Drosophila melanogaster: one gene and its partners. The protein of the gene in region 1 interacts with the protein of each later gene in a pairwise test. Each region holds a gene or a part of one and is shown on either strand. Other genes may lie near its edges.

The links.
Region 2: the proteins of Schip1 (region 1) and jumu interact in a two-hybrid assay, tested with the Drosophila melanogaster proteins (one large-scale study listed by BioGRID).
Region 3: the proteins of Schip1 (region 1) and CG8420 interact in a two-hybrid assay, tested with the Drosophila melanogaster proteins (one large-scale study listed by BioGRID).

What each region holds. Positions count from the first base shown.
Region 1 is NT_033779.5:10,327,589-10,333,391, forward strand, and holds Schip1 (schwannomin interacting protein 1), read right to left. Parts: upstream 3,529-5,803; 5' UTR 3,492-3,528; intron 3,005-3,491; 5' UTR 2,992-3,004; coding exon 2,404-2,991; intron 2,344-2,403; coding exon 1,887-2,343; intron 1,823-1,886; coding exon 1,734-1,822; intron 1,675-1,733; coding exon 1,608-1,674; intron 1,548-1,607; coding exon 1,216-1,547; intron 1,153-1,215; coding exon 884-1,152; intron 823-883; coding exon 759-822; 3' UTR 612-758; downstream 1-611. Other genes in the region: RnrL (ribonucleoside diphosphate reductase large subunit), read right to left, coding at 99-187, 239-290; Cox10 (cytochrome c oxidase assembly factor 10), read left to right, coding at 4,022-4,093, 4,159-4,342, 4,400-5,086, 5,151-5,383. UniProt on the Drosophila melanogaster protein: Regulator of the Hippo/SWH (Sav/Wts/Hpo) signaling pathway, a signaling pathway that plays a pivotal role in organ size control and tumor suppression by restricting proliferation and promoting apoptosis.
Region 2 is NT_033777.3:10,348,417-10,353,537, reverse strand, and holds the start of jumu (jumeau), read right to left. Parts: upstream 3,357-5,121; 5' UTR 3,011-3,356; coding exon 2,951-3,010; intron 1-2,950. Other genes in the region: CG31406 (uncharacterized protein), read right to left, coding at 3,629-3,742, 3,799-3,870, 3,931-3,993, 4,056-4,358, 4,421-4,618.
Region 3 is NT_033777.3:9,245,652-9,252,433, reverse strand, and holds CG8420 (uncharacterized protein), read right to left. Parts: upstream 4,986-6,782; 5' UTR 4,761-4,985; coding exon 3,999-4,760; intron 3,610-3,998; coding exon 3,461-3,609; intron 2,515-3,460; coding exon 2,235-2,514; intron 1,779-2,234; coding exon 1,455-1,778; intron 1,222-1,454; coding exon 1,141-1,221; 3' UTR 1,003-1,140; downstream 1-1,002. Other genes in the region: St2 (sulfotransferase 2), read right to left, coding at 1-84, 229-563; Vps15 (vacuolar protein sorting 15), read left to right, coding at 6,681-6,778.

The DNA of each region.
Region 1 (5,803 bases):
TAAAATCAAACCCCATCACATATAAATACGCATCATACTTACTAGGTTCGAGTGCAACCTGTGTGATGAGCACCTTTAAACAATAGAAACAAACTTACAGGATCAACAAAATCCATGTTCAAGTTGTAGCAAAGCTTCTGGATTCTTGAGGTTATTTTATCGAAGTGCACCTCCTCCTGCCTGCCATCTGAAATAAATATATTAAGAACAGTCATAGCGACAAGGAATTGTAACCCACCTCTCTTAATAACATATAACTTTGAGGTTTTCATGGACTTGTTCTTCAACATCTTGACTGCTATATTTCACAAGAGGCGGCAAATTGATTGTTGCAAGCACAAAAAGGCGCCAAATTAAAGTCATTATTAGTGTTACCGTGCGACATGTTGATCAAATGCCGCACTTTCAAAACGCCTAACTTTGAAACGATCAAGAAACAAAATTATTTCGAACCGTTCCACTCACATTTATATCATATTCTTAAAAAATATATCATTTTAGATAATCAAATAAATATATAAATAACTGCTTGTATCAATACACAGGTGTTTTATAAAAACAAATTTAGTTTAGTGTTAATATAAATAATTAGTTGTATTTTTTATTTATTTAGCTTTATATAATTACATAAATATAACAGTGTTTGAAGAACATTTGAGTATGTGTTTTATAAACGGTCTCGGTAGATTGTTATCAATTATACAAGAGATTATAATATTTGTAAACAAGTTGTTAATAAAATATGCAATTTCAAGTGTTTAATCTAAATGGCCGTGTCTAACTATTTTATTGACTTGCTGTCCAGATTGCTGTTGGAAAACACTAGAAAGAAATATTAACATTAATACACACAGTTAAAATAAGATAATATTTGTATACATACAAAAAGTTATTTATTTTTTCGAGATCGTGTAATATATCATCTTGGTCCGAATTCAAATCGTCTCGCTCCTTAAGGCTCTCCAGTAGTGTGACGTTTAGGTTTTCAATATATTCCTGGAGATTGTTGACCAATAGCTGGAGAGTCGGAACTTGGATTCCAGTGAGCAGCTGCCTCGAAATCCATCGATGGTTGGAGTTCATTTTGATGCCAACATCACACAGCATTGATCGAATTACGTCCACAATGGGAGTTACGCCATGTTTCCTTGCCTACAAATAGATAATTACAATTACATTTGAATAAAAAATAAATAAATCCTGTGGAAAACACACCTTTACTTTCATCTGAGCTATTTCCTTCGATTGAGCTAGTGCTATTCTAACCTCTATTTGAAGTTTTGATTGATTCGCAAAGAAAAACAAGTTTTCATCCGACGGATAATCTGTTGTACCAATGGGATTGCCATTCATATGATTCATGCTTTTATCTTGGTTGATTTGGTTCTTTTGAAAGATTTTATCGTTTTCAAATTCCTTATTGCGTTTCGTTTCACAGAATTCAGATTGCTTGCGAAGTACTCCACTTGATAGTTTTGGACACGTCTCAGAGTCGGAGCTATAACTTTCATTATCGGATCCGGTTAGAAATTCCTCCTTCTTAATGTCTAAATATAAAATATAATATTTAAGAAAATATAGTAATGAAAGAATATCTTTGGTCTTACCATTATTTAAAGAATCTTTATCTCCGATTGCCAATCTCTTGCGTATCTCATCTCGATTGAATCGCCGCTGTAATTGGAATATATATTTAATAAATGATATTATTATTCCGATTATATTGTACCTACCTTTTTCTCTATCTGTTTAACCTTTTTATAATGGTTTTGCAATGTTTCTACATCCATATCGTTTGCAATCTTGTACGCATCAAATTGTTCTATAAAAATTTAAATATTAATATACTCAAGAATCTATAACGATTAATTCATATTTGAAATTACCTAAAACCATGGTGGAGCATGGATCTTTGGAGTACTTGATGGGATCTTCCAAGTACTGAGACCAGCGCGATTGATTTGAGTACTTCCGACTAGCCACCTTGTTATTGTCCTCGTCCAGATTCTGCTGGCTTCCACTTCCACCGATTTCCAAGCTGCTCATGTTGGGTATTTCAGCCTGATTTAGGTTCGGACTATCGTTTTTGTTCTTTTCCGGAACGGACGAGTATTGGTCAGCATCACAAATGATATATTTTCGTTGGCTATACGTTTTGTAGTCGAACGTGTCCGGTGGCAATTGACGTTCGTCATGAGACGGCTTTGGATGCTTCGTTTTCACGATCTGATGTCCGTACGGTGTGTTCTTCTTTTTATTTTTTCGAGTACTATTCCCGGACAATCGCGTCGAGGATGTTTGCTTAAGAGCCTCCGTTCCATTTGATAGTTCTGCATCGCAAATCTGCAAGGTACAATTATGCTTTTACGTGCCTGATCTCTTTTATTTTAACTAACTACATACCTTATCTAAATTTGATCCCTTCAACTCATCCGCTTCCTTCTTGTTTTTATATCCAGTGAGAAGTAGCTCGAATTCACGTTCCACTTCTCCGCCAAAATCACCAACAATATCGATAGGACTTTGGCCTTGCAACTGCCCTTCGTATTTCGAATTAATTGTACATGACCAGGATGGAAACTCAGGATTGGTCGTATAATTCTGGCTTAGATTGTAGATAAGGTCAGGTTTTTGCAAAGCTCGCTTGGAGTTTTCCGACGTTGCACTATAGTTTTCATTTACAATATCCGGAATGTTTTCCGATCGGTTCACGCTTTCCTCTTCTGATATATATGTGTTTCCATTGTCGCAGTTACTTAAAATCGAATCTTGGCCATTCTTAAAGGTTTCCGAGCCCGATTCCTTGGCCATCTTACTTGGGAACGTTGGGTCATCTTCTCTATCGCTGTCGGTTAGATCGCTTTCATTGCACTCCATGTCGGAGTACTCTATGTAGTCATCGGAAAGGGTATGCGCGAACTTTTGAAATCCTGGGTAGTTGGGGTTGGTGATGCCCTTTGTTATATAGATATCCATTCTTGGCATGGGCATTGGAATAAGTTGTCTAGAAGAAATAAAAAAGTTTAGATGACTTAAATATTGATTACAACTACAGTGTATTAATAACATAACATAATTAAAACATAGTAAAAGCAATAAAATGGTTTTTTTCTTATTTCCTTTTACTTGCTAAAGGACACCACTATCTCCACTCCACTATTTTCTTTAGTTCAACTCATTATCGTATTTATAAATTACTTTAAGAGTCAATTTGGTATTTAACTTCATATGTGTTTAGATGTTACATTGTCCTTAACAACACATGAATGAACTGACATTTTGTATATTCTTAAAATCGAGAAACAAGAATCAAGCCGAAAAAAGTTGGTGTAGGTGCAAATTTTTGTAACAGAAATATCTGAAGATAGTCAAAGTTACTTGCAATTATAATTTCTTGTATTTGCTTTATTTAAACGATTGTTTCGACTGTTAACAACTAAAATGTATTCCGTTTGTTTAAAATGTTAATTATTGAATCAATGAAGACTTACAAGGACTTCGGCCTTCCTGCATTCAGATGTAAAAATTACTCCCACACATATAAAGCAAATTACACGTTTGACGCATGCGCAAATCTTGGTATATAGTGTTGTTAACAATACTAAATATTATTACAAATAATTTAATTTACTAAGGAACAAAAAATTTATTAATTATTTATTATTTTTTTATATGCAAAAACTGAGAAAACAACTTAAAAATCGAAACTGAAAATGTCTCTGAGTTTTACCATGGCACAAAATTTTCTTTTAATGTAAACTTATATTATTATTATTTAAGGAATAGGCTTAAAACTTTTTGCTATGTTTTTTTCAAAGTTCTTAAAAAATCCCAATCCCAACAATTTATGAATACCTCTGATTAAATTTTTTGCACTCAGTATTTTTCTCATTTTGAGATATGGTAACACTTAAGCACAATGTGATTTAAAAAACCATAACATTGTATATAAAAGTAATAGAAATCCAAACACAACTAGAAAAATGAAATAACCGTAGACCTAACTAATAAGTGAATAATAATGATATTATTCAAAGGAATTCGGCGGGTGCAATCCCAGCTAAGAACGCCGGTTGATTTGGTGCTCATTCGGGTGAGGTTCTTGGCCATTACGCAACAAACCACTATAACAAACTATAACTTTCCAATAATTTTCAGTACTCCACTGCAGCAACGATAGCTTCCCAAGATGACAAAGGTGTCACTACAGCGTCGCCAGTATCCCAGGCGGGAAAGGTCCAGCATTTACCCGATAGTCAAATTACCTGGATGCCTAGTCCGTACACCATGCCCGGAAAAACTCTTAGCCAGTACAAGAAGCTATCCAAGTTCCGGCTGACATGTAAGCGAGATGGTTAAACATTGGCCAAGCATCGACCATAGTTGTCTTTCGTTGCAGCGCTGGTGGTCATTACAACGATGGGCGGCTATGCCATGGCGCCAGCTGCTTTCGATCCCACAACGTTTGCGATGTGCACCCTGGGCACAGGACTCGTTTCGGCTGCGGCGAATGCCATTAATCAGTATCACGAAGTTCCTTTCGATTCGCAGATGTCGAGGACAAAGAACCGGGTGCTCGTCACGGGGCAAATGACACCACTGCATGCAGTTACCTTCGCCGCGGTGTCGGCAACTGCCGGCTTAAGTATGCTGTATTTCGGAGTAAATGGATTGACGGCGGCGCTGGGAGCGGGTAACCTGTTCCTCTACACCACGATATACACACCGATGAAGCGTATCAGCATAGTCAATACCTGGGTGGGATCGATAGTGGGCGCCATTCCTCCGCTGATGGGATGGGCTGGTTGTGCAGCCACCCTGGACGCCGGCGCCATGATCCTAGCCGGAGTGCTGTACGCGTGGCAGTTCCCGCACTTCAACGCTCTGTCGTGGAACCTCCGGCCGGATTATTCACGTGCCGGCTACCGAATGATGGCCGTTACCAATCCGGGTCTTTGTCGCCGCACTGCGCTGCGATATTCGGTGGCTATTGTCGGACTTTCAGCCATGGCACCCGTACTGGACGTCACGAACTACTGGTTTGCCTTGGAAACACTACCTCTGAACGCGTACTTCGCCTACCTTGGTAAATATACTCATTAACCATGGAATCCTATATGTTATGTCTAATACGTTCTGTTTGCTTGCAGCGTACAAGTTTCATGAAAAGTCAGATAGTGGGAGCTCGCGGAAGCTGTTCCGATTTTCACTGATACACCTGCCCGCCCTGATGCTGCTATTTCTGACCAATAAGAAGGAATGGTATTTCAGCAAACCCGCCGGTGAGGAGAACAAAAAGGAGTCCACGTACAGTGCGATAAAGCATTCTGCTAGCAGTCTTGGTAATGTCCTGCCCGTCGCCGTAGCCGAAGGACCCAGATAGAAATATTAACATTAATTTGATAAAATGTTAAGTATCGTGTGAAATTTAAATATACTTAGTGTTCTGCAACTTGTAAAAACAGTCATTTAATATTAAGGAAACACGTACCCCTGTGCGGCAAATATATGTTGCGCCTAATAAATGACACGACATCCTTGAAAAATATGCGGTGTAACCAATCCGGCGCTGAATACAAATAAATTTAAAATATACAATTTGGCATGGAATCTTAAGCCGTACAGTAATTTAAATTGCAAGATTCTAAGTATGACCTTATTATATTGTTCTTTGAGCACTTGTTTCAAAAAAAGCACGGAAACGGTAAAAATTGTTAGTGGAAGTAATCCCGTTTCCCGTTGTTTCATCGGTTGTTGAAAATAAGGAATTTAAATCTATTTTATTTTGATAAATTGTAGCAAT
Region 2 (5,121 bases), on another chromosome or scaffold:
AATGCAAAAGTTGTCAGTAAAACTTCGACGAGGCTTACAGACACCGCCACCACTCCCGTATTTCAGCACCCCCTCCCATACAACCCACCGTAGGCCATAAAAAGTTTTTGCTGCTCTGTTGCAGCTGCCTACAGTTGGCCTTTTCAAGTTGTGCAACGAACCAAGGAGCTGCCGACGAGGGTATTTTCGTCCTTTCTCGGCAGGATTCGTCACTGGCGATGGTTGTAAGTGTTCTCCTGCATTTCCTGCATCTGCTTCGTTTCTTTTGTTGCACATATTTTCCATCTTTCTCCGCCTTTCACCTCCGAAGGAAATCACTCTGCTGACACACAGAGAAAACACAAGAAGAGATGGTAAATAATGATGGGAGGAGGATGGTAAGGAATGGAATGCAATGGAATCCCTCACTCAGGTAAAACCAACGATTTCCGTGGACCTTTCTGGACGAATCTTCCCTGAGGTCATGAGCGCCCATTTGTAAATTACTTTATGGTGCAATAAAAGTCGCTTGCCTGAATTGCCGACCGATTCCCAACGCAAAGTAACATCCTTAAACACACAGGATGATCCAGGGTCGTAAATCGTTTTCAAATCTCTCGGTTTAGCGGGAAGTAAATCGGCAGATTCTCCGGGTTATTTCATTCATTAACTGCATGTGTTTCAAGAAATCAGATTTGCCAAATGTTTATTTTTAGCCTGGAAGTCCATTTGCTGAGACTGTGAGGGTTTTTTGGGGCAATTAGTTGGTTTGGTGAGGCATCTTACGATTTTTACGAATTACACAAGCTCCATAACTTCTTTGTTCATTAACTTAATTGCCATACAAACAAACAGTTGGCTTCATGGAGATTTACATTTTCTTATAGAAAGAAGAAAGGGAGAGAAGCCAATGCATTTCTTCAAAATGCAAATGACATGTGGACACATAATAAGTTGTATTTAAATTAGTCTATATCTTACTTTGCATAGTTTCAAGTATCTTTTTGGTATTACACGATTTAGGCGCTCTGAAGTTTTATATGGGTAATAGCAACTGCCCCCAGACTAGTGTTTGTACCAATATGTGTATGGGTGTGTGTGCGCTGGGGCCGTGAGAAAATCTATGCGGCATACAGCTGGGCGCTCATATTCGGCAGCAGAGCGAAATGCAGACAAGTGGCAGTCCTCCCACAATCCTTGTGCGCCCATCTCTTTCCCACCTACTGCGCATTTTGGGGTAGGTGTGCCGCCACCCACTGAAATCGCCCCATTTGAAAGGCCCCAGTGGAAAGCGCGTTGAACTTTGAAGTTGTTCTTTGTTGGCTTTTTGCTTTGATTTTTGTTTCACTAATTTCTTTCTTTGCTGCCATGTTGCTGCAACAAAGGTTGCCGAAACCTCGGAGACGAAAGAGAACAGTGCGAAAGAGATGGAGAAGGTGGGAGAAAAGCTTTTGATGTGGGAATTATTGTCGACTGTTGCTTTTTGGTTTTCTTTTGTTCTCGCACTTACACAAGCGTACAAGATGAAACGATTTATTTTGTTTGCTTTTCTTTGTTCCCCTTCGCACACGCACACGCTTACTGGGAATTCGCAACACTTGTAGATTGTGCGTGCGTGCGTGTGTGGAGTTTTGCATGTTGCAAGTAACAGGCGCACGTGTTTTCCCAAGTCCGTTCGTTTGATTTTCTATTGAAAATGTGCAAACTTTGCTGGAGGTCAGTTCCTCTGACGGACTGACAATTTAGGCGGTCAGTTTAGCCCAAACTTCAAAGCCATACCCCCACTTTCTGGCCCAAAATCATTAGCCACTTGGTTGGACTGTGACTAAAACAGATGAAAACCGAGAGATTCGAGGTGAACGCTTGGCCTTCAAAAAGTTTAAAACGCAAAAGCCGAAGAAGAGGCCACCAGACGAAAAACTCAGCGAACCGGCGGAGAAACACACTAAAGTACTCAGCGCATATTGGCGGCCAAGGAAATAGGACTGCAAATTTATTAACCTGTGCTAAACTGTAGAATGTGATAACGTAACTCTACAGTGAATACTCGACCAGAGAAACTCTCTAACATTATACAAGTAAATTTATGCCGAAGAAATAATCCTTTTAGTTAAAAAAAAATCTTTGGTACCTTCTCCTCTCATACTGTGTTATATTATAGAGTTACTCTTTGAAAATGAAGATAAGAAATTCTTAAACCTTATAAATTGCAAGAAATAATATATTATAAGGTGTGCTATTGTTTCATCCGCCGCTGTGTGTGACAGAAAATAAATAAGCCAAATAATTGCGAATGGCTACAACAAAAGAAAGACTTGTGCTGTGTGCGCCAAAGTAAAATACTCCAAGTGTCTTAATAATACAAGTAGAATAATACAGGCAATCCCCTCCCGTGAAAAGTGAATTGATGTCCACAATTAAGTGCAAATAACAGTCGCTTAACAGAGGTGAATTCTGCGGCTAGCCGAGTTAGTAACCCCCAAAATAAACAGCAGACTTCCTCAAACGCAATGGTACTATACTTCCATTATTTTTTATCGGCGCTCCGCTGTTCCGGTTGTAATTAATCATCAATTTTTTGGGCGAAAAAGAAATTTTTCAAAGTTTAACGATCAAATGTAAACACAGACACACACACACACAAACGTTAAACGCGGCGAGGGCGAATTGGCGAGTCAACAACACAGCTTTGGAGCGAGCGAGGCGGGGAATATTTGGCCGCAGGGGCGAGCGAGATGGCGAGTGGAACCAAAGTTTCGCCGCCAAACTGTTCTTGGTGGTGGGTTTTGCTCTTCATGTCGGTATGGGAACAGTTGGGGTGTGGGGAACGTGGAGACCGAACGTTAAATTCAAAAATTGCGCCTGTCTGTGTCTCGGCACATGCGAGTGTATGGGTGCGTGTGGCCGGCCGGCGAAATGTTCGCGAAAAGTTATTATTCTCGCTTAGCTCGCCTTTTTTGTTTCAACTCACCGCATATTTGCTGAAGAATCCCTCATGTATGCCGCTCGAATAATCCTCTAGTTCGAACATGTTGAATCTTTTATGTTTTTAGCATGCACTTTGTTTTGATCGATGTTTCCGCCTGGCGAAGATTTCACCGGAATATCGTCCGCCTCTCTGCTTCTTACTGCCAATTCCAATTAACGGTTCTATTTCGAAACAGCGCACAAAAAATATATTCAGTCTCAACACCGTTGTTCCTTGGCAATCCAAGCCGTGATCTCTGCACTTTTCAAATTCTACTTCCAGCAAAAGGACATGGCGCTCGCGCTCAATATATCGCAGTTATCAGGAGCGCACAACACCGGTCTCGTATTCGAAGTCGCGGAGCAATGATAAAATAAACCCGCCCGGTCAGAATTCGAACGAAAAATGAGAGCGCCCGAGACTGGAGTGACCGTACCTCCGTTTTTGGAAAACGTTGACAATACACGGCACCGCAACCAGTGGCAGGTTGGGAGCTCGGGTAACCATTTAGCCGGGAAACGAACCCTGCGTGTAACGGCTTTTTAAAAGGTAACCTCACTGTTCGGCATTCTTTGTTATTAGGTATTCTTAATTATTTATATTTATATTTTTGCTTATAAAAGCAACTAAAATCAATTTTGAACTTTAAAAACAAAAACAATTAACGCAACGTGATACAAATTATTCGGCTTGATGTTCGATGTGATCTTTTCCAGCTTTTTGAATGTCATTACACTTTTTGGACTTGTGCTCCCTTGTCGACTTCTTTAGGCTTGGTTTCATATTTGGATTTGCCTAAAATTGGAATTTTATAAATACTAATATTATTAGTATCTGTATCTTCATTTTACATTATCGTTTGTCGCTGCTTCTGGAGTTTTGGAAGCCAGTAGTTTTTTATCCTTCTTTAATGTGCTTGTTTTCTAAATATATTATATATTTTATAATATTTTAATATATGCATATCTTTTGATATTTCTTACTTCATTTTCATTCGAATTTTGTGCCTGCAGTTGCTTCCCATCCTTCCTTTTTGTTCCTGTTTTCTAAATATTTTATATTTTGTAATGTTTGAACAAATATTTTTATATCTTTGGATATTTCTTACTTCATTTTCGATAGATTCTTGTGCGTCTAGAAGATTTGCAGCCACCTTGACACACTGACGTGCAGCCGGAAGTTTCTTCACATTTTTCTTGGGCACAGGAGGTCCTTCTTCATTCATTTCATTAGATGCTTGTTCCTCCAAAAGATTTGCAGCCGCGTCGGCGCACGGAAGTGCAGCCTGCAGTTTCTTAACATTCTTCTTGGGTGCAGGAGTTTCTTTGGACCTCGCTGCTTCTGTATTTTGGACTGTGGAACTCAATTTGGAATCCAGTTGCTTTCCATCCTTCCTTTGGGTTCCTGTGTTCTAAATATTTTATATTTTGTAATGTTTGAACAAATATTTATATATCTTTGGATATTTCTTACTTCATTTTCGTTAGGTTCTTGTGCGTCTAGAAGATTTGCAGCCACCTTGACACACTGACGTGCAGTCGGCAATTTCTTAACATTCTTCTTGGGCACAGGAGGTCCTTTGGTCCTCGAAGATTCTGCTAGGATGTTCTGGTCAGATAAGGTCAGCACTTGGTTCTGCTTCTTCGTAGCTGCACTGCGAGTAACCACCATTTTCGGTTCAAAGCTAACGTAGAAAATTCAAAAAATCAAGATAATGGAAATTTGGTGTAGATTCAAGCGAAGTGCAATAAGATGTGGGAATTTCAGTAAAAAGGTAAATAGGTTATTTGGTTAGTGGCGCGACACTAGACAACCAGGCTACTTCCAAACACGAAGTCACAAATTTAAAAATATCTGAAATATTTTTCCCAAAGATATATAACCACTTAATAAACTTATAATAACCACTTAAGTTCAGTCGCAGGAAATAAAGCCCTTAGCTTGCAGTTCATTTATTAAAAATTATAATATTATATATTATAATTATAAAAATTATATATATATATATAGTGACGTATTTGGGTGGTCCAAACCAGCCACTTCCATTATTTCAAAGAAATCAGTAATGCACTCTAGTAATTTTCCATAACGTATCCCAGCTGCGCAGCATTCGTTTATCTTTGGCAGCGCAGCCGTTCTTGTAAACATCCTAAAGCCTGACCTAAGCAGATTTG
Region 3 (6,782 bases), on another chromosome or scaffold:
AGCAAAGGCCACGGCAGGTGGGAGCGTGCAAAACGTGGGCGTGGCAGATTGCGAACCAGATCCACGGTATTGCCAAACTTTTGGCTGTCAGGCGAGGAGAAAGTGCAAAGAGGTGAAAAAGCTTTTTGAATATGAATTTTTCCCCGCTTCACTCACTTATATATATATACATTAGTGTACAAGTAATGTGTATATGAGTTCAGAATGATATAGTTTCTTCATACTCACGCCACCGTCTCGTGATGATCGATGCTAAACAAAGCGGATAGTTCAATGAGCGGAGATCGCAATCTTAAATCTTGCTCAGCGGCCACGTAATCCAATTGGTGACCCAGCAGCCAGACCATCTCCTGGGCCCACGTCGATCCGGTTCGTGGATAGGACACCATCCATACGTCGTCCTGGTAAACGGGAAGCGATCGAATCGATTCGCCCAGCTCCACGTACTTTCTGGGAATGATAAACTGATCGGGGAGGACCTCAACAAAGCAATTTTGTACCGGAAAGACTGCATTAGTGCGTCGAAGTATGTCCTCCTCGAGTTCACGATAAATTAGCTGCATGGCTCCTGTATCTTTCAACTGCTTTGGCCAAATTACCAAAGCACAATGAAGTCAAAGTCAAGTCGAGTGGCAAGTGCAAGTGCAAGTTCAAACGAGGCACTGAAATGGGACTTTCCACCAACACGAACTGGTTTGTGCAGCAAAAAAAGCTCTTGTAAGGTGAATTAAGGCTTCAATAAGTTGCCTGAAACTAAGATCAGGTTTTTGAATAACTAAAATTCAAAATCATTAAAGTGAAAATCCTGAAAATTGTCTTATTGGTCTGATTATTTAAAGTGATCTCACTTAGCTAAGTTTGACTGTAGTTGGATGGCTTTTCTTTTGCGGTTCGTTGACTTCAAATAGATCGTAAAATCTGTAGACAACAACTATGATTAGAAATAGTTAGATAACCATCTCATGACCCTTATGACACAGTTTAAAATAAAAGGTTCTGTTTAAATTTAAATATATATTTCAATCCGTAATACTATATACACACGAAATCTTTATCTCAATTACAGCTAAATCGTCTTAATGAGCCTTCGTCTTCTACTTTTCTTGTCCGGATCTCGCTTGTCCATTTGCAACTGGAATACTACAACTCGTTGTGGATATATTCCGTGGTCACCTTGGCCTCGCCCTCGTGGAAACCATTGCAGTCGACTGGATATTTGGCCTGTTGGCGTGCAATCGCAGAAATATCGGTTAGAAAGCGGCGACAAATGGAAGTACAGAGAGAGAAAAATATATATGATTATTTACTCGTACAAAAAGAGTACCAAAAGAATACGTTCTACGTAACGCAGCATACTTTTAGTTATCTTTTATATCCCCTTAGAGATTTCATCATCTTCATGCTAGATGTATTCCATTTCTTTTCAGTGCATCACTGTGGCCGTTATTACTCACCTCGCAATTGTATGGCGCATTGATCACACCGAAGAGGGTCCAGAACGGCGTACCGGTTTCCGTGCTAATGAAGATTGCCGCACCCATGCTCCCGATCTTAACGATTTTCGGACTAACTCCGGCAATTAGACTGGACGCCGATGTCGGGCGATTCAGTTGGCTCTGCTTGGGCTGGTGGTGCTGCTGGTATTGGTCGTGCTGCCTCTGCTTCTCCTGCTGATCGAGAGCCGCTGCATTCAGCTGACAGAGCACGTAGCGATCGCATTGCGGCGACTTGGAGATGTATCTGTAGGCGCGATGGACTTTCAGCACCGGTTCAATAACCTGTTTGCCATTTGATCCATTGACGGATGCGTGGAGGAGAAAATAGTGGCGTAATTAATTTGATTTGCTTCAAACTAAGTGTTTAGTACATCTAACTGGGCCAAGTTATTCAATTATAACAAATTCATTTTACGTCGAAATGGGTCAAAGCATTTGCAAGAATCATATGGGATAAATTAGTTATAGTTTTCAATGATATAGTTCAGTAATGTAATCAGTTCCTATTAGCTCCTTTAGTACTTTATACTTTATACTTTAGCTACTATCAGCAACTTCAGTAAAGTAATCATACATATAAGGATCATATAGTACATAACTTTAAACAGAATTACTATTTAATTAGTGCTATTATTTTCACCTCAGCTATTTCCTATTCTCAGATATATATCTCCAATTACCAACTGCGTTGCCCAGTTCCCATATCAGTTAAGTTCAGAGTTCAGAGAATCTGCTTACCTCCAGGTTAAGCGTATCCGTTAGCTTGTCGCTGATCTCGGTGGCATTGAACTGAAGTAATCCGCGTGCCTGGCCAAGTTTTAGCAGTTCCTTGGCATAGCCCACGGCTGGCTTGACGTACTGCCTCGAATCGATCTTAACGTTCAGATGATGCTTGGCCACATGGTCCAAGAGATTCGAGATGGTCTCGCCCGGACGGGAGGGATCGAAGTGGGTCTGCTTGGGGTAACCTTGAGACTTCAGCAAGCCGTTAAACATGATCTGTGCCGTCTGGAAGTACCTGTATAAGAAAGTGCCGAGAAGCGGGCAAATTGATGAGTTTCAATCACGCAGCACCGCCGAGTGAAAGGGTCTCTAGAAAGTGGAAGTTGTTGTGCGCTTTTGTTGTTGTCTAACGTTGGGGGCAACGCAAAACAAAAACAAACAAAAAATAAGAAGACCAAGAAGTCTGAGAAGCCTGACCTACTTAAGAATCATGCAAAAATGTCTGAATCCAATGTGTACACAAAGAAAAATTGCTTAAATTAATGTTTTTCTGCTCGCTGCATGCTGATTTCTTATAATTCCCAAGTCGTTTTTCCTATGTGAAAAGTATTCATAGTTTTGGAGATTTGCTTAAGGAATACATATAATTAATACTTATACTATTGCATTTTAAATAACAGTTTCGATTGGTCATTATGAATTGAGAAGATTTGTAGATAAGAATTACTTGATTTTTCAGACATGTGTACCCGGTCTGCCAAGGCAATTTCCCCTGGCTAAAACCGCCAACCGGTTTTGGCCCGCTTTATTTATTTGTTTGTTTTAACGATGCCGTTGACTTCTGTATCTTCTGCATATCAACTGTAACTGTATCAGTGCCTGGACTTGGTACTTGCCACTGTTGTTGACCAGTTGGATTAGCAGGCACGTTCTAAAAGCAGCACCAGCACCGAAAAAAGTGGGTCAAAAGGTAGCCGCATCGAACATGCTCGATGGCCAAACGGGTTGTCGCTAACGGGAAATGGTTAGCACAGGCTTTGCCAGCAGCTGTTCGAAATCTGATTCTGAATTAGAATCGGAATGGGCATCGGATTTGGACTGGAAGGTGGTCTTGGAGTGTGACCAAGAATGGCAGCCAGGTGCTAAATGCACTGGGACCGTTGCAGAGCAGAACGTGATCCACAATTAACACGCTTTGGCCATCGCTGAAGATCGAGCCACGTTGGCCGGCCGAGACTCACCTGAGATACACCTCGGGATTGGCCAGGTAGCTGGCCCAGTCGGCCAGGTAGAGTGTGGCCGACTTGATCCAGCGGCGACGGAAGGATTGGTTATTCAGCGACTCGAAGAGCTTATCATAGTCCAGCTTGCCATCGGAACCCTTGAAGCCCTGGAGGTGGATAAGAGTAGAGTAATTAGCATTACAAATTGGTATTTAACATATTATTTTAGTAGCGTAACATTTCAGAATTTGAATTTGTATTTTAGCTAGGAAACAAATTTTAAATTGTTTTTTTTTCCGCTAATTGTTTCTATATCAATTTAAATGAGTATATATAGATTATTTTGTTTTAAAGATTTTCTCTACATTTTGTTTACGCATGTGTAGTCAAAATAGTTTACTCTTAATGTGTTCCTAAGGTCTTTAATATGTTGAATATTTTCCAATATTGTATTAAAAAGTGCTATATTTTATGCAAAAAGCGTACTAAAATCTAATAAAATGTTCTAACATCAAAACGTCAACAATATATAGTTAAGTCTGATTTATGCATCCACCTTCATGATTTTGTTAACTCCGGACTTCTCGTACAACGCATCAGCCAGCTCGGAGTTGGAGAAGTGATCCCACAGCACGTGAATGTGCTCCAGGAATGGGGGCAGCACCCAGGCGTGGCTCTTGTGCTTCTCCTGGGTGCTCTGACCCTCGGGACCGGCAAAGGAGCTAACCGCCTGCATGACCAGTGGCAGAAGGTTCATCAGTCCGTTCTCGGATTCCGGTTCCGTGGCGGTGGATCGCTTCTGCTGGTGATGATGTGTGGCCTTATCGTTGCCCTGGGTGTTCATGAAGGCGGATGCCACTTGCAGTATGGTATCCAGACCAATGCCAGATTCAGAGCCACCGCCATTGCTGCGCTTTTGCTGTGGAGTGGCTTCCTCGTCATCGCCCTGGGTGAACATCTCGAGGACATTGCCAATGATGGAGGGATCGAAGCCACCGCTCTGACCGCCCTGACTCTTGGACAGAAGACTGCCCAGGCCCGAGAGGATCTGCATGGCGCCACCAGCACCGCCGCCTCCTGCTCCGGCGCCTCCAGATTTGCCACTCGCTTGCATGAAGGTGCCAATTAGCGAGGCCACACCCGCCAAACCAGCACCGCCTCCTCCATTGTTGCCACCGTTCTGGTTGGACAGCGCCTCCTGGAAGAACATGGAGGCCATGTCCAGCAGCGGATTGGACTCATCCTCGCTGGCCATAGATGGACCCAGCGGCTGGAGGCACAGCAGGCAGGCCAAGAGCAGAGCTCGTCTCACGTACATTTTGCTTCAGGAACTTTCACAATCACACACTTGAGATACTTTTGGGCCAATTAAGCGACGCAGCCACAAAACGCGGAAGACGCTCCACTGAGCACACGAAATATATGTATGTATATACTATAACTATGTATATCTAAACAGATATTACAAAGATTGGAGAACGGAGAACGGAGATCGCAGCGTAGAGCAGCCAGCACAGCCGAAAACTTTCTTTCTTCTGCGGCTCTGGGCCAGTTTGTAACACTTCTTAAGCCAACGATTCTTTGGGGGCCATCGAACATGTTCGATGTGAGCGCTCTCTGGACTCCCCTTTCTTCGGATCCAAATCTCCAACTCTATTCGCCGCTCTCACCTGTTTCCAGACAGACTCTCTCTCGCGGAATGGAATTCTTTACGCCTGCGCTTTGAACACCACGTCAGGTTCGCCGTCTTCAGAAAAAAAAACGAGACAAAAGAGAGGGCGAAGAAAGAGCAGAAGAGCTTTGGTTTTTACAGAGAAAAAAAATTGTTATGCAAAGATCAGAACCGCTTATTGTGTTGGGATAGAGTTAAGTTAAATGTTTATATAGAGAGATCAAAATAACATATTAAGATAATCATAACACTTTCTCTATTATCAAAAGTAGTATCATTTTGTAGAGATCAAATAAAGAAATTATGGTTGCAACCTTTTTTTTTATGTGTACCCGGTTCTATGGCTCACACTTTGTTTATGTTTCCTACCTACCCACCTACTTTCTTTTTACACACGATTGTCCGCTTTGAAAGTTCTCTTCTCGGAATGGTGGTTGGTGGACATTGGCAGTCAGATTTGATGGCAACGCTTTCGTTAAAGCCGCCTGTTTGGGCTTTTTATGTAAATACGAGTATCAACACAACATTTGTGGCTCTTTATTTGGGTATACTATACTACAATGAAAAAGAACTGGTCTTGGAAAATTGAAAAATTAACATTAATTAAATTAAAACTACATTTTAAACCATATTTTTTCACAAATTAATTTTGTGTAAATGTTAAATCGTTTATAAACCTTTTCGATTGAATTCTCAATGCACACTATACCCATTTTCAATCTAAATAAAAGTTATATTAAATATTTAATAACATTGAATATCCGCTATATACAAGGGTATATATTGGTTTGCACCTTAAATTAAAGTTCTCATTTCAAGTTCTTTAAGCAACCCAATGAAATACTCGGCACATTTGTCACCTGGACTCTTGGTGGTGGGTTGATTTTGGCTCTCGTCATGGCCCATTTCGAATTTATTCAACAAACAGATTGCAGTGTGCCCGTTACATAAATTTATAATCAGTTTAATGGGTCCGTCATGCCGAACTAAAGAGGTGTATCTGTATCGATCTTGTTCACTTCTTTACTTTCTTCACGTTCTTCCAACTCCGAAGCAAGATGACCTTTCCCCATAAATTAGTTATTAGCATATTAAATAATTCGAATAGAGTTTCATTCTTATGTTTGTAAATTCAAAGTTATTGGAATAAACTCCACTCTAAAGTACTTGTCACATACAAAATTCGCGGCCTTTTTTAAATTGAATTATGTATTTGAACTCATACCATATTATCGATTGTTATTAGTTGGTGTGCGGTATATCGATGTTCCTTAATGAAATAAGTGTGTAAAATAAAATTTCAATTAGGAAATATTTAAATCCGCGATTTTTGAAAAAGTATTGCCAATATAAAAAATGATAAAATAATGTTGATAAAATGTTTAGGAAACTTAAAAAAAGAAGTGAATATGTTGGCCAGTGTACTTATCGATAACATCGATTGGTTTTCGCCACCAGCTGTTTGGCTGCGCAGAAAAGACGAAGACTTCGTTTTCTTGTTATTGTTGAATAAACTAACAAAATTACCTATAATTGCTGGCACTACAAAGTGCAATAGCAATCAGGATGGGCAATCAACTGGTGGGCATTGCCCCTTCGCAAATTTATGCGGTGGAACACTATTTTTCCGGCCAGTTTGGATCCGAGATCGCCTTCAGTTCCAAGTAA